2 linked regions of the Struthio camelus genome follow. The protein of the gene in region 1 purifies or fractionates together with the protein of each later gene. This does not show direct contact. Links are inferred from orthologs where the notes say so. Each region holds a gene or a part of one and is shown on either strand. Other genes may lie near its edges.

Region 1 (8,086 bases):
AAGAAGTTCCATCCTGGATCACGGCCTCCAGACAGGCAAGGCTGAGCTTTGCTTCTAGTCCCCAAGATGAATCCAAGTGAAATACTGTCGCTACTTTACCCGCCCAAATATTCTTTGCAACTTCTGTCCTTTAGGATTATTATGCTAGGATTTCTGTCATCTTACTTTTAATGTCTGACTCAGTGGACAGCCGCAATTTTAATAAAACAAGAAGCAAAGTAGCTGTAAGACCACTGCCATTCTCATGTTAAGATGACAAAGTTTCAAATTTACCAGGAAACAGTACTTCCCTGAACCTGCAAGAGGACTTTCTGTTGCAAATACTAAGGGGTCACTGAGATGCCTTATAAATACTTATTTAAGCCAGCAGGTACACTGACAGGTTTGTAGAATTGCAACATTTGGGCCATTCAGTCTACATAAAAACATGGATGTCCTTACTAAGTCTTTCACAGAACATTTAGGCCTAACAGTTTACTAATAGCAATCTCTCAAAAACTCGGGCATGTTAAAGTGCTGACTCCTGGTTATCTCTTCTGGGTATGGTGCTATCAGTGGATTTTTAGATCCAGCTACTGGTACAACTCCTCCCATCCTCAAAAACTTTAACAAAACAGCATACCTCTTAATTCTGACTCTGTCACAATTAATCCGCTGTTGATGGTTTAAACCATCAAGAGGCCACTATAGCCGATAGGGTATGAAGCACCAAAGTCCTATGAATGACTTCCCCTCCCTCTGCCATTAGTAGATGCTAACTTTGCCATACCAGCTTCACATTTATTGGTCCAATTTCTTCCAGTGTTGCAAAAATATTAAAAAAAAAAAAAATTCCAATCCCCACTTTGAGCTGACTGTCTAGAAGACACACTCTTCTGTTACAAGGCTCCACTGCCTTTTTCTTCAGGAACTTTATAACAGCAAAAATCTATCCAAGTTTAATATTTTCATCACATTCTTCTTGAACACCAGTCTCTCTGCTCTGAAGGGTTTCACTTCACAGACCGATCAAAGGAAAAAAAAAAATATTAAAAACCCTGAGCTTTCTACTTGCTGCAGGAGACTCACCTGAGTCACGTAAAACCTGGCTTCTATATCCCAGAGCTCCCCAAGAAAGCTGAAACATTTTGCTTTATACTGAATGCTTTTATGTGGATTCCCTCATCTTCAAGGTACCACTTGGACACTTAACTTTAAAACATCAGTTGGAAGCCAGTACAATATCTTCATGGGGCAAAGTACAACTCCTATTAAAGGATCAGCCAAGCTGCAGTATTAATCCTTCCTCATTTATCATTTTCACATAATAACTTTTGGGATAGGGTCCTCTCTCATCACTATGATTTCTTGAATTTAATCTTTCTGTCTTCTCCAACAACTGAAACCAAACAAAGCCATTATTCTGACAAGATGCATCTCCTGGTGATGATTAAGACTCCTGAAAGATATACTGGGCATCAGGTGGACTCTGAATTTGCCAAACTTTTTATGCCTTAACATAGCAAGACATAAAAATGCCTTAACATCAACGTTTCAACTTAAGCACAAACTTTTTTTTTTTTAAGTGAAGAGAAACAAGTTAAGTTAGTGACTTAATGAACTGAAACACAAATACATTGTGGACAATTTACTCAACACATGCTTACTCAAGACAATCACTTGAGGTTTCTATTCATTCATTTATTTATTTTCACGCTTAAAACTCCATATTTGATTTCTTATTTAGGACCATCGACAAAGTTTAAATCCAAATAAACAAACATAATCGTTATAGCAACTTGGCTCAAGCTCATTATCAAACGTCTGCAGTAAAGGAAGAAACTGAATCCATGTTCTCCTTGGTCCCAGGCTAGGGCACTCAATCATTTGTTACCCTTCTTTTCTACACAAGAGACAAGTAATAAGTTATCAGAACAAAGTCTGATACGTAGTTTTATCTCTACATAGTTACTTAAATCTTAAGAGGAAGACATTAAATAGGATCAGAATTAGGTCTATAAAGCTGACAATATCAGCAGAAAGAGTGTAAGGTCTTTCTACCTGCCCAAGCCAGGAACAGACACTATCAGGATCTGTACTCCGAATGAGCAATACTCTTATACTGTACTTAACTACAAAAAACTTCGGGACAATGAGACATAGCAGCCAGGCCACCAACAAGGACTATATAGCTTTACAGTTTAACCAGAATCCCAGCATACTGGAGATGTATAGTGCTGAAGAGCTGTGTGGTTCTGTCACATTTAGTCTAATCTCGAATTTCAGCTACAAACGGCAGATCCAGTCAGCTCACTTAGTAACACCAACTCGTCCTAAAACCCTTAACTGAGACAAAGTACTTCCACATCACAGCTTAGCCAGCTGCAAGCCAATACTAGGATCAGAAACCTATAGCTTATTTGAAAACTTCCATATACCGCACAGAAGCATTAAGCTGTAAATCATGCTAAAAAAAGGGGGGTCTTCGACACCGGTATGGACCCTATCAACAGCTTATTTAGCCTTACCTAACCGCTGCACGATGGTAAACTGCTCCTTCCCCCGCGCCGAAGCTCCTCCGTGCAGCCACCGCCCCCCGCAGCGCCACCGCTGCTCCCACCCCGCCGAACCTCTGTGAGGGCGCAGCGCGAACCCGCACACCTGCCCCCCGCACCTGCTGCCTTTAAGGAGAAGATAAAAGCCCCAGCCAAGCACAAACGCTTCGTCACAAAGCTGCACCAGCAACTCGCTCAGAGGGCAGCTGCCCCCCGCCCCGGCCTTGTCCCTCCGGCCGCGGCGGGGCCCCGCCGACGCAACGGGCTCCTCGCACGCACAGCGTGGGCCGCGAGCGAAGCGACGGCGGGCGGTGCCGAGCTCCCCCGCCCCGGGACCCCCGCCCGACGCCCCTACCCGGCACGGCGGGCGCTCAGGCCGCCCGAGCGCTCATGGCGCCGTCGCGCCCCTTCCCCGCCTCCGCTCCGGCAGCGGCAGCGGCGCGCTTCCGTGACGTAACAGGATAAACACGTCCCCCGACCAGTACGCGATGGGAATGAGGGGAAGGAGGCGGGTGCTTCCGGTGACGCAGGAGCGAGCGCCGGAGGTGGCGCTAGGGAGGCGCGGTGCTAGTGAGGGGTTCGCCGCGCCGCTGGCGGGAGAGGGGCGGCCGCCGCCGCCGCCGCCGCACCGCGGGCGGACACGCACGGTGAGCGCGCCCCGGGATCCCCCCCCCCGCCCCGCGGAGAGCCCCCCCCCCGCGCTGGGGGGCGCCCCCGTGCCCGCGCTGGCGGCCGTGCGCAGCGGGCGCCGCCGCGGGCCGGGCCGGGCTCGGGGGCCGGCGGCGGCCTGCGCGTCTTGGTGCTGGCAGCGCCTCGGGCGCTGTCGGTTTTCAGGGTGTCGGAGTGAATCCGATGTTGTGCGAGTTCTCATCTGTTTCGCCTTTAGCCTGAAGCTGAAAGCTCTTTTTTTCTTTTTTAAATTTTTCCTCTCGGGAGGCTTCTTATGCCGCGTTCGGGTTGCGGTCGTTTATACCGTCGCTCTGTTTGCGAGGCGGTGGGGGTGTCAGAGCACCAAAAGTTTTCGTGAGCCAGCGACCGGAGTGCTTGACCTCTGCTTGACGTTAGAAGCAGTTGGGTATTCACTGTTTTTAAGTTCTCTTGTGGTTCCAGCTCTGGGCTCGTTTGCTTACTTGAGCATGTAAGTGCATTTGAAAATGCAGTTCTGAGGTCGGTCTGGCGAGACAGCGGCACCTGCGAGCCGCAGAAGGTGCACGTTCCTCCTATAACTTCTGCAGAAAGCCAGTATCAATTTGACTGGAATCCATGTAGTTCTCTGTAGCTTCTTAGAGGTTGGTGTGAGGGGAAGTACTGGGATAGGAGAAAGCAGAGGGATAGCCTCTCCTTGGCAGAAGGCCGTTATTTCAGGATTCGTGTATGAATTTTGGATGACAACTGTATAAACGTAGGTTTTGGTTTTTGCTTTTTTTCTTCTTAATCACTCTTTTTAAACCTATGCACAACAGAACAATTCATTTTTCAGTTTACTTTGACTTTTTATCCTGAAAGGAAGGATGTCATAATTCTGCATAGTTTTGAGAGTTATTTTGAACTTATTTTACTTAACAATGGGTTGTTCTGTTATGTACTTAAACTCTTTGTTGGTATCCCAGCGTTTTAAGTCTGCTCTTCACAGTTCTCACTTCTCTCTCATGCTTTTTAAGTAGGCTCTTTACTCTGGTTTAGAATTTGGATGGATTGTTTTAAAATTATTCTTTATTTGAGGTGTCTGAGACTTCAGAGGTACTGTAAGATACACAAATGTGTGGAAATCCACAGAATCAGTACAGGTGATTAGCGGAGGCTGAGCTACTGATTTGGCTTGGATGAAATATTCAGGGTTTGTTGGTACTCTCAAGTGGAAATGCTTAAAGCACGGAGGTCTTGACCTGTTACAGCAGCAGTATGGTGATATTTTGTTGTCAGAATGTTTGTGCTGTAAGGTGAAATGGCACTGTGGAAGCAGTGATCCACACAGTTGTTTGCATCGATGTTCTTAGCACAGCAGCCCTGTCACAGCTTGGTAGAACATTTTTTTTGTGGCATTGACACTGATGAAGGACAGGATGTTGGTAACCACGGGTGTTCACATAAAGAAAATTGCTGATACATCAGTCTTTATATAAATATATCCCTAAACCCTTGCCTTCATTTCTTGTGCTCCCAGTGATAGAATGAAATGATGTGACTAGAAACGTAAACCGGTGGGATTTTAAGTCTTTATCAGAATACTCTTGTTAATATTTTCTTTTCAACTTATACACTTTGGCTCTTTTCCTTCTGAATTGGGAATTAATTTGACTTTGGTGAGCCGTACTTTGCTAAATTGATTTTTTCCTAATTTTAAGTCAAAAAGATTGGAAGGAGTATCAGAAGTGTAAGGGGTTGGAAAATAGTTGATACAATGGCAAGTGAGGCTCCATGTCAATAAATGTGCATTAATGCATATTAAAGGGAAGCATGGATCTAGACAAATGTTTTACAGGCTTTCAAGTTAAATGCATCTCATCTGGAAAAGGACCTTCACCTCTGGATTGTGGTGTCAGTGAATGCTTTTCTGTGTAGCCAAAAGAACAAACGATGAACAAGGAGCAGCTGAGGAAAATAACATGGATTTTTCTCCCCTTGTAAATCAGTGGTACATGTCATTACGAATCTTTTAGGTTGTAGTTGTATACGATAATTGATCCTGGCCCTGTTTCCAGTGCCCTTCCCCCCCGCCCCCGGGATTCTTCTTTAAGCGCTACTTAAGCCCTACCTTGCAAAAAGTATGTACTGCAAAATTAAGGAGGCTCACAGACTGACTAGAGCCATAGGAGAAGATCCTCTTGTGTGAAGAGAGACTGAAATGACAGATCATTCAGATCAAAAAGGGGATGAAAAGAGAGGCATGATAGCAGTAGTTCAAATATTGTCTGTTCTTGTCTTAGTACAAATGGGTATTCAGTAAAGCTGAAAGGTGTTGAAAACTGAAGTAAGGTAAGTATTTCCTCATTTATTTTAACCTATAGCAAGAGTATGAAACTCTATGCAACAGCAAATGACTTGAACTAAAGAGATTCAGAGAAAAGTTGAATGGTAGTTTAGATAACAAAAATACTGGAGCTTTATATTTTCTAATCATAATAGTTAGGAAGGAAGGACAGGGAAATGCAGAGCGCCTCTTATTTCACCTTGTTTTGGTATCTCATCTAAGTTGAATATGCCTAAGCTTGCTGTAGTCATGCTTCTGATTGCTTTTGAAAATCTTATGGCCTAATATTTATTAGGAACAGATGGATTCTCTCTGTATCCCGGTGTTTTCTCTCTGCCTTCCTCATAGTAGAGAATTTTATTTACTGCTCTGGTGGACTTTTTCTCTCTGTTGTTATGTTCCTGCTTTATTGTGTTACCAGGATAGAATATGTTTATTGAGTGTTTTCAGCCTTTCCCAAGCATGTGGAGGGAGAGTACTTTGTTCCCAACCTGTTTTATCTGTCCTGCCTGCTCTCTACCAGGTGGTGCCAGGATATGTTTGAAGCGCTGTCAAATACTAATTGTTGGAATCGGTCTAACTGTTGGAAGAAAAAGCTGCATCTTTTTCTCTTTCTATTCTCAAAGTGCCAATTGCCAGCTGTTGCAGAACTGGCTGTGATATTTCTGTTGGTCTGCAATTCTCTAAGCGTCTTTTTTAATTTTACTCATTTAAGAGTGCCTGAGGTTTCTTTCTAGAACTTCCCAGCAGAGAGAGTTAAACTGGCCCAGATTTTTCAGTTTCAGTTGTTTGTCACACTAACAGTATAAAATGAGATATATCTGAGTAGCATCAGAACCGTTGCCGTGCCTGCCTCTGGATTTACAGCGCAGCTTTGGTTTTATGCTTTGTTCACGTATGGCAAGATATAGCTGTCTGAGTTGGAAAGCTGCATGTTTTGTGTTTCAAAACTGTAGGGCCTGCAAAAGGCTGATAGCACAGTCTTCAAAATTAGAGATCCTGGAGCAGTAGATATTTCAAGATATGGTGAAAAGTGATGTTCAAGTAAGTGGAAACAGACAAGAATTATATAGAAAATACTGGAGGGCTTTTTTTCTTTTTTACCCTTAATGTAGTGTCCTTTAGAAAGGAAGAATGAAAAATTAATCATTGATTGACAAAGAAATGAAGATGTGCCAAAAATCTAAAGTTTTAGTGACTCTTGTAATCCCCATGATGAGGAAAACCTTTTTGTATTACATCTTTTGTACTAGCATAGAGCAAGACCCAGTGCTGGGGGAATCAGAGCAAAGCTCTTCTTGGCAGCTGGCTGCGGTGGGGCAGCTTGTGCTGCGTTAATGGAGTGGTGTCTGTGCATGCTGAAGTATCATTATTTGAGAGAATAAAGAACGTGCTTTATGGAAAATAGTCATCTCTGACCAAAAATGAGGAAGAGGCTGTTTAAATTAATAGGGCAGATGATTGTATGTCCCAATATTAAAGAAATTTCGTAGTACTTCTTCTGTATATGCTAATAGAAAAAAATATCAGCTACAGTGTGTTGGGTAGGAGACAAAACAAAAATAATAAAATCTATTTTTAGGACAACTTTGTCCTGAGAGAACAGATAAATCTGGTTACAGTGTAGTAAACTTGAAGTCTGATCTCTTGAGTACTTGCTAATGGAATTTTCTCATTCTGATCTTAAGATTTTAGACTTTTTGTGGTTGGCAATGTGTTGTTAAAGCTGTGTTCTGAATAGGCCGCGTCGTTTAAGAAATGGAAATTTTCTAATAGTAACAGATCAAATGCGTTCAAGATACTGAAAAACACATTTTCCTCCCTTTAAACTTTTTTTTCCTCTGGTATTTTCAAAAACATCCTTACTTTATCTCATTGATCCCAGTTAAAATTTGTATGCTTAGTCCTCTGTATAAGATTTGTCACCTATTTTTCCTTAGTAGTGTTTTGGGCAATGTTTTTGGTGGTGGAATCTATCTGATTAATTTTTCTCTATTTTATTTTTCTAACTGCAGAATCTCCCTACTGAGATTTTGCTTCTGTCCCCATACTTCTTGTTTGATGTAATTCTGTGTAAATCTGTGGGGTTTTTTTTCCTTCAGTCTGTTGGCTTTTATGGTGGTTTGTCTCTACCCTTTTTTTCTTTTTTTCCCCTCGAACTTGTGTGGTTTTTTTTTTTTTTTGGTCAAAATCTGGTGGTGATTCTTGCTGGTTTCACTGTGGTCCCTCAGCAGTCATAAAAGTGGGAGTGTTTTTATCACTTGTGCTGCCTAATAATTCAGTAGGGCATGTGCGTGAATGTCGGTGCCTGCTGCCAGTAGTATGTACTGGGATGTTGGAGGTGACTTAACTGACAGAGCAGCATGATGTGAAAGCTTGCATTCAGCTTTAATGGCATTTCTCTGAAATATGTTCTTTTTTGAAAATTATGTTGAGTTAACTTCCCAATTTCAGTAAGTGTTCCAGGCAGCAGTGTCTGGGCGCTACTGTATTTGTTAAAATGTGCAAAAATTTGGAAAGCACCAGCCAGAATCTTAATCCATTTTCTAATCTTTGCTGTTGGTCTAAAAACTGGGTAAGG
Region 2 (7,527 bases), on another chromosome or scaffold:
ATTAATCTGTTTTATTTTGTTTATATCATCCAAAAGTTCCATTTCAATTCTGGCGGGGCTTACAAAGTCTTCCGCAGTTCTCCCAATATCGCCAATGCCGCTGTCACAAAGCGGCAACGGTACACCTCCTGGACAGTGATTTCCATCATTCCCTCTGTCAAACGTTAAACCTCTGACTTCTTCCTTTTTACTGTGTGGTGTTACTTCACAGCAAGAACGAAGTCTCAGCTCAACAGTTTGTGCTGCGTCTTTTCCCTTTAAGCAAACTGGACCTTGTGAAAGCATGTCTCCTTCACCAAGCTCTTTCACATCTCTTTCACACAGCTCTCTATTGTCTGTGTCATTAAAATCAAAAGCCTCTAATAAATTGAAATTCACCTCCATCACCTCTTCTTCTGGACCACTGTCTCTGCCATGTGTACTTAATTCCTCTTTCACAACTACATGACCAGTCAATGCTACGTCCGCAGAGAGCTCCAAGTCACTGGACACTGTTTCTGAATTTCGTCTCAGCTGGAGTTCATTTTGTGACTTTGAAGATGAATCCTCTTTAAGACCATTAGTCACTGAACGCTCTCTGCATGTGGAGAGATTTGTTTCAAGGACGATGGACTCAGCTGGACTTGCTGAATAAGAAATATCACTTAAGGATGGGACACATTGACTGTTGCTCATTTTACTTATGCTAGATTCAGATAGGAAGCAACTATTTGGATGGTCACTAGCAGCACATTTGTTAATCGATAATGGTTTAGGTACCCCATCACTTCTAGAGAATGAGGGTTCTCGACATCTTTCACAATCCCAAATGCATTGCCTTTTGCTGTCTGTTAAATTCATACAGACACACATTTTTTCAGGGTGCAAAGTCTTTGTATTGCAGGGGTCTTGTAAATCTTGACTTAAGATATTTGCCTTTCTGTCACGTCTTTGTCCCGCAACTTCTTTATCACAAGCTTGTTCAGCTGAATTTAGAAGCATTTCAGCATTCCATTCCCTTTCATCACTTCCAGTTTCCTTTGTAGAATGTTGGTGCTGAATATTTTGAGTAAAACCTTTGCCGGGGTTGCCTGAAAAGCCAGGTGGGGTTGTACTCTTCTGGTTATAGAAACTATCTATATTTTCTGAGGTCTGAAACTTAGAATGGCATTCCGTGACTTCAGAAATTGTTTGCTCTGTGCATAGGTGGGCTGGTTTAGACTTCAAAAGAGCAATTATCTGTGCTGTGCTCCTGATGTTCTGCGACACCGCCACACGACTGGTTGCCTTGGTGTGCTCACTAATTAGAGGATATTCTGGCTTCACAATGGACTGATCAGAGTTACTCTTCTCTGTCTCTTTATACGTCTCAAGAAATGGAGCTGAAACCAGTGAGGTGAAGGACACATGTTCTTTATCATTGTTTGTATACACATTTTCATGAAAGCTGGTGGATACATTTGTGTCTGCATCCTTCTTGCAAACAGTAGAAAATAAGGGAGAGGTGATATAAAACTTAGATGGCAAGGAACTCTGACACTGCTTAGATAAAGGCAATAATGTTGCTTTTTCTTCATCTTCCTTTGCTGATATTTTCTTTTCAACTTGACGTGGCCCTTGGAAACCCTAAGAGAAAAGTTTAAAATTAATTCTACTCAGAAATCAACCTCACATTTTGTAATCTAAAAGATGAAAACAGGACATGCTTCATAAACCATATTCTGACCAAATATCACAATGATTCCATACACGTACAGAAATAATCTCAAACCCTTGTGACTTTCACTGTACCCCTAGCAACAGCAATTCTGCTAAACCCAAGAAAGATTTAATAAACTACGAAAAAAGAGCTTCCAGTAACATATTCTGATTTACAGTTCCAAAAAAAAGCAGGAAGACATTATCTGTATATTCATCATTCATTTAAAAATGTGCCCTTGGTGTTTTAAAATGCATGTTAATGTCAGACAACCTTTGAAACAAAGACATACTGTAAACTTCCTTTTCAACCCAACAGGCAGGTGTCTTGGAGGCAGACCACCAGGCTTTACGCCATTTCTATTCACTGCTGGAGTTTCTGCTTTCCTTGGCTGATCTTCAGAAGATTTTTCATTCAGTTTTACTGCTTCAACTGTGATCAAATAGCGTTCACTTTCTAAATTATCTCCAGCATTCACCTAGGAAAGATAAGGCAGCAGTGGGTACACAATAGTGCTGCGTAAGAAACACAAACAATTCCCTCTAAATGTTGTGATACTTGCACATAAGAGTCAAAAACGTAATATTTTTCACTCATAAGAAATAAGAAACTATCAGCCATATCGCTAGAGAGAAAAAGTACTACCTTAATTACCAAACAAACAAGGGTTTGGAAGGCTTCCTGCAACACAAACCACAATCATAAGCATACAAATAAAAAAAATCCAAAACAAAATATACCTGAGATTTTATAAACAAACTCTCCAAACATTGTCCTTTATCATCAAACAAGATTGCCTACAATGAAAAGAAATCGTTATTTTAAATAATGAATTTTATTTCACAGATCTACTACATGGCACTGATAGTCAAACAGCAGCAGATGATATCAAATTGTATTAAATTTGTTCACCTTATTTCCTCCAGTTCTAATCCTCAGAATTCCATCTTGCCATGTTTTTGATTTTTTCATTTTTTGGTGAGTGTATAGTACCTGATTTAAATGTTGAAATAGTGATAAGTAAGAAAATGTTTAAATAATACAGCAGCTACATCGATATTGACTTTTTTACTCACTGGCCTACAGTGTAAAAAAAAAGACTTACAGTAAACTCTTGAGAAGCCATTGTTTTGGCACAACGTTCGTCCAACAGCTTATTCTGCAAATATTCATACCTTCATACAGCCTGAGAGACAGGAAAATTTTCAGAATTCAGCATAGTTGTAAGGGAAATGTACTGAAAAAAACAGATGCCAGTTCACTTATTTTTTCTCAAGAGTAGAAAGCTAGATGCAAAAAAAAAAAAAAAGTAAAAAAACTCCACACACACCTTGGCTCTCCACCTCAAGGCATGTGTGATGTGGGAATTCTAAAGACACACCTTGAAAATAATTTAACAGAAAGTCTGTTGGTTAAAAAAAAATTAATAATTTATATACACCAACGTCCATTTTAAATTAATTTAAATGAATGTCTAGCAACTCTGAAAACTCCATTGATCACATAGCACTTTGAAATTACAAATTATCCTAATTGTGTTCACTTGCAGCAAGAAAATATGGAAATTATTAACAGACTAACTTTGTCAAGAGTTTATTGACTTGACTTGGTCACGCATGCTTAACTCACATTCAAGATAACTGATTTTCAAAATCAGCTGCCCGTGAAGTCAAGCCTCTTTACATATTTAAAGCTAGACCAAAATAACTTTTAAAGTAGCTTCCGATGGTGAAAATGGGAACAAAACTTTATAAAAGCAACTTGTCTTTAGAAGCTGGGGCTTACTGTACATTTTGGTTGCTAATATTTGATCAGTACTGTGATTTACACCAGCGCTTAAAGAGCAGCACTTAAGACCTTATTTAGTTTAATCAATTAATGGCATTGCAATGAAAACGCATCACAAGAAATAACATAACATTTCCAGTTATTCTCACACTGCAGCTCAGTGAGAAATACTTTAATATAAAGTAGCTACACACAGGCACATTCATGCTTCTTCTCATGGCGCTGTTTCTTACAGCCGTCACGTTCTTGGCAGCCCCCGGATCAGCACTGTGGATAGTGACACACTTTTCAGAAGCAAACACAAGAAAAGATGTTTAGCAACGTACGAAACCTAGGGAAGAAAGGGAGACGTTCTCTAGGGACACAGAATACCTCCTCTAGCTATTAAAAACAATGCGAATACTTACTATGATTTAGCACAGCAAGCAGCAAAAGCGGGAGTGAATACGAACGCTGCCAGCATTAAGTTTATACAGATTTGCTAAAGGCTCGCTCTTAACACGTCGTACAGGTTAAGCCCCGTGCTAACGGTCAGGGCAGCTGTACGCATTTGCCCTCAGTACGCGGGTGCTCCACTAAAGCCTGCCTCCTCACGGACCTCCCTGCTCCAGGGCAACGCCATCCCCGCGCCGGGGAGGCCCCCGCCCCGCCGCCAAAGCTTGCGCCAGCCGTTAGCGACCCCGCGGCCGTTAGCGACCCCCGCCGCCGCCGCCAACGGCCGAGCCGCTCCCTGCGGGCGCGCGGCGGCGGCCACGCCACGCTACGTCACCTGACGTCACAGCCCCCTTGCGGGAGCGGGGGGTCGCGCGAGCCTCGCAGCCCCCCGCCCACCTGTCCCCGGCGCTCGCTCCCTCCGCGCGTTCGAAAGCTTCCCGCCACTGCCGGCGTGACGTCACTACACGCCGACAGCCAGCGAGACAGGCCCCCCTCCCCTCCCCTCCCCCGCCCGCGAGGAGCGAATCACGCGCCCGCAGCGAGGCGAGGCGTCGCCGCCGCTGCCGCCGCCCTCCCCCCGCTGCCGCACTGCGCATGCGTGCGCGGCGCCCCGGGGCTTTTCTCTGCCAGGGGGCCGCGCGTCGCGCGGGGGCTGACGGCCGGTGAGGGCTGAGGGAGGGGGCGGGGCTGCGGCGAGAGGCGGGCGCGGACGGCGCGGCGCGGCCCCGGTGTCCCCCTGCGAAGTCGGCCTCTTCGGGTCCCCACCGGCGGGTGACGGCGACAGGTCAGTGGCGCGGCGGCCGGTGGCGGCGACCGTCGGGGGCCGCTCTCGCTGCGGCGGCGCAGGCAGGGGGCGCTGCCGCCCCTCCCTGCGCCGCCGCCTTCGTGCGCATGCGCGGGCGCTCCTGGGGCCGCAGGCCGTTAGGGGGCGGCTCGTGCCGGGCGGGCCGTTGGGTCTCTGCGGCGGAGGCGGCCGGCGGGGGGCGCCATCTTGTCGCGTCCGTGCCGGGGTGCGGCGTATGCGTCTCCCTGAGGTACCGTCCCAGAATCGCAGAATGGTTGAGGTTGGAAGGGACCTCTGGAGATCATCTAGTCCAATCCCCCTGCTCAAGCAGGGACCTCTAGAGCATATTGCCCAGGATCACATCCAGGCGGGTTTTGGATATCTCCAGCGAAGGAGACTCCACAACCTCTCTGGGCAACCTGATCCAGTGGTCTGTCACGCCTGGGCTAACCTCTGCCTTTGCTTCCTGCAGACGCAGCGGGTCGGTGAGCAATCTGAGTAGCAGGGCTGAAACCTGCAGTGGTCAATACCTAAATAGTTGGCAAACATATAGTGGTTGGCCTCTTCAGGGACTGTCATTTTGCCAGTTGCTTCAGTGGCAGAGATTGCAATGGGGCTAGGAAAACTTGTACATCGTGCCTCTCCTCTTTGAAGGGGAGAGAAGAGGAAGTTCACCCTATAGTTGTGTAGTGCCTCTGAGCTGGTCTGTTTGCAGCCACTAAAAGGGCGGCAGAATGTCTTGCTTTTGTAACCTCTCTATGCTGTACCTGAGGGCTCATCCCTGCAGCTTCCCTTCGTCATCTGTGCTGCTTATTAAGTCCTTTAATGAGTTGACCTAACCCACTTACCCAGCAGAGAAGTAAGACTACAAAATAGTAACTTCTCAGATCAGAGAGCTGAACTGCCTCCCCAGAGGATGATACAGACTCTGAGGGAGGACTGTGTAGTGAGTAAGACAGGAACCAGGCTGTCCTTTTAGTGTTAGTGTGAATTGTTGGTTCATACAGCTGAATCAGTCTAATTGTATTCCTTAATTCTGCACCTGAAGCTAGGCTTATTGCACTTATGACCCAGAATGGCCTTTGCTAGCCATTGCAATGAAGAATGGGAAAATGAGACTCTGGAACAGGAGTTGTGACAGTAGATGAGTTTGGTGGTTGTCCACTTACTTCAGCTGTGAAAAAAGGAGATGATGTGACTGACTTTGTTTGCAGAGTTATTTGGGATCCACTGATTAAATGTCTTGCTAGAGGTGCCTGTTTTCTTGTTATTGCAGTTGCCTTGTGCTGTGGGCCTGCATTTTATTCAAAACCTCCCTTTCAGGCTCTAGTGATGACAGAGAAACGGTGACCACGGCAGGCCTGGCACAGTAAGGTCTGCCCATGTCTGGAGACAGCCGTAACAGCCATCACTGTCCTGTGGAAGCTGAACCTTTTCTGTTTGTGAGCACACTAGTCCTAGGATCCATACTCAGCATTTTATGACATCTTTTGTATGTCTTAAATGTCAGTTTAAAATTACCTACTAGTTTCGTGGTTCAAATCGGAAGAAAGCAGAAGGCTCTCTGTTGTTAGGTTATGTAGCAAAGCGTGCTAGTCTTCATGTAACTTTTGTCCTTTCTCAGGTCACTTTCTGCCTAATTAAGTTATTAGGTAGGGTATGAATTCAAACTAGTGCAGCTCTTCCTGTTTATCTATTAGAATAAGAATATCCAACATAGATGACAAAATGCATCTTTGAAAGTAGTTTAAATTATGCTGAATATCTACTTTTAGTTTGGCATATGTATCTAAAAGAGGAAACACTATATGGAAACATTTTCATAGCCTAAAAAGTATTTTGAATGATTCTTGCCACTCTTGTTTCTTGATACTTAAAATCGTAAAAGCAAACAAGCGTATGTATATTGATACTTAAAACAAGGGAACTGGATATTTTACAATTGGGACTATATTTCTTGCAGACTCTGGATGACAGTTGCATTTGATTATGCTTTTCTAGTGTCCTTGTAACAGTAGAAGTTGGGGGTTTGAAACTTGTCTCTATACAGAATAGCACCAATTTGGTTACCATTTGTCTTCTATAAAGTGTTTAGACAAAGCACTATAGATTTGTGTGAACCTGCATTATTTTTATTTACATGTCCTTTGTTTTTCTGGATTTCCCCCTTTCCTCACCTACCCTGCCAGCCTGCCTAATTGCCCTCCTTTTCCCACTTTCAGTCTTGCGCATAGGGAATATGTGATTTTATTTTATATGAGAAAGACTAAATGAGAGTAGTTGTTCTAATAGGCAGAAATCTTGACCCTGCTTGTGCTTTCTTCTGATTTTTATTGTTAAACAAAACAGTGTTTGCAACTGCAAGGGTGGCAAATTAGCGAAAATGCAGGCATGTTGTATAGCTTTGGGCTGCAGCTTTCATTGCTGAATTGAGATTTGCACCAGTAATTGCGAAGAAAAGGAATGCTAACAAAAAAAGTCGAACTCAAAGCATTTCCTTATTTGTAAACAATATTTTCTTATATTGTGAATTAAACTCAATGATCTCTCACATACGATTATTTCACTACTAAATGTAAAATTGTACACAAATTGTAAGATGGATTCGTAGCTGACGTTTGCTCTGATGCGTTTCTAAGTGCCTCCAAAATCTCATTCCGAAAGATTCATTCCTGAAACAGTAGCAGAAAGGGAGTGCCATAAAAAGAGCAGAATATAGCTTGCAACTTTTTTTGTGTTTCCTTTAAGCTCGAATGAGAACTTGTCTCCTGGGAAAGAAGTCCCAAGGCTGAGTGACTCAAAATGCATGAAGTACTTTAGATGTATCCTTAGAATAAACTTT

Evidence for each region. Proteins that work in one complex are often made in the same cells at the same time.
Region 2: the proteins of ZCRB1 (region 1) and LARP7 purify together in Homo sapiens (affinity purification with mass spectrometry; 3 studies listed by BioGRID and IntAct, counting the BioPlex papers as one, with this or other methods). This does not show direct contact. The link is inferred for Struthio camelus from reciprocal best matches to the Homo sapiens genes ZCRB1 and LARP7.

The regions. Positions count from the first base shown.
Region 1 is NC_090942.1:34,031,240-34,039,325, forward strand, and holds the start of ZCRB1 (zinc finger CCHC-type and RNA-binding motif-containing protein 1), read right to left. Parts: upstream 3,033-8,086; 5' UTR 2,890-3,032; exon of another isoform or gene 2,508-2,889; intron 1-2,507.
Region 2 is NC_090945.1:23,239,596-23,247,122, reverse strand, and holds the start of LARP7 (la-related protein 7), read left to right. Parts: upstream 1-4,486; 5' UTR 4,487-4,685; intron 4,686-4,780; exon of another isoform or gene 4,781-4,935; intron 4,936-7,527. Other genes in the region: 5'-3' DNA helicase ZGRF1, read right to left, coding at 1-1,605, 1,971-2,156, 2,419-2,475, 2,591-2,671, 2,784-2,804. UniProt on the Homo sapiens protein: RNA-binding protein that specifically binds distinct small nuclear RNA (snRNAs) and regulates their processing and function.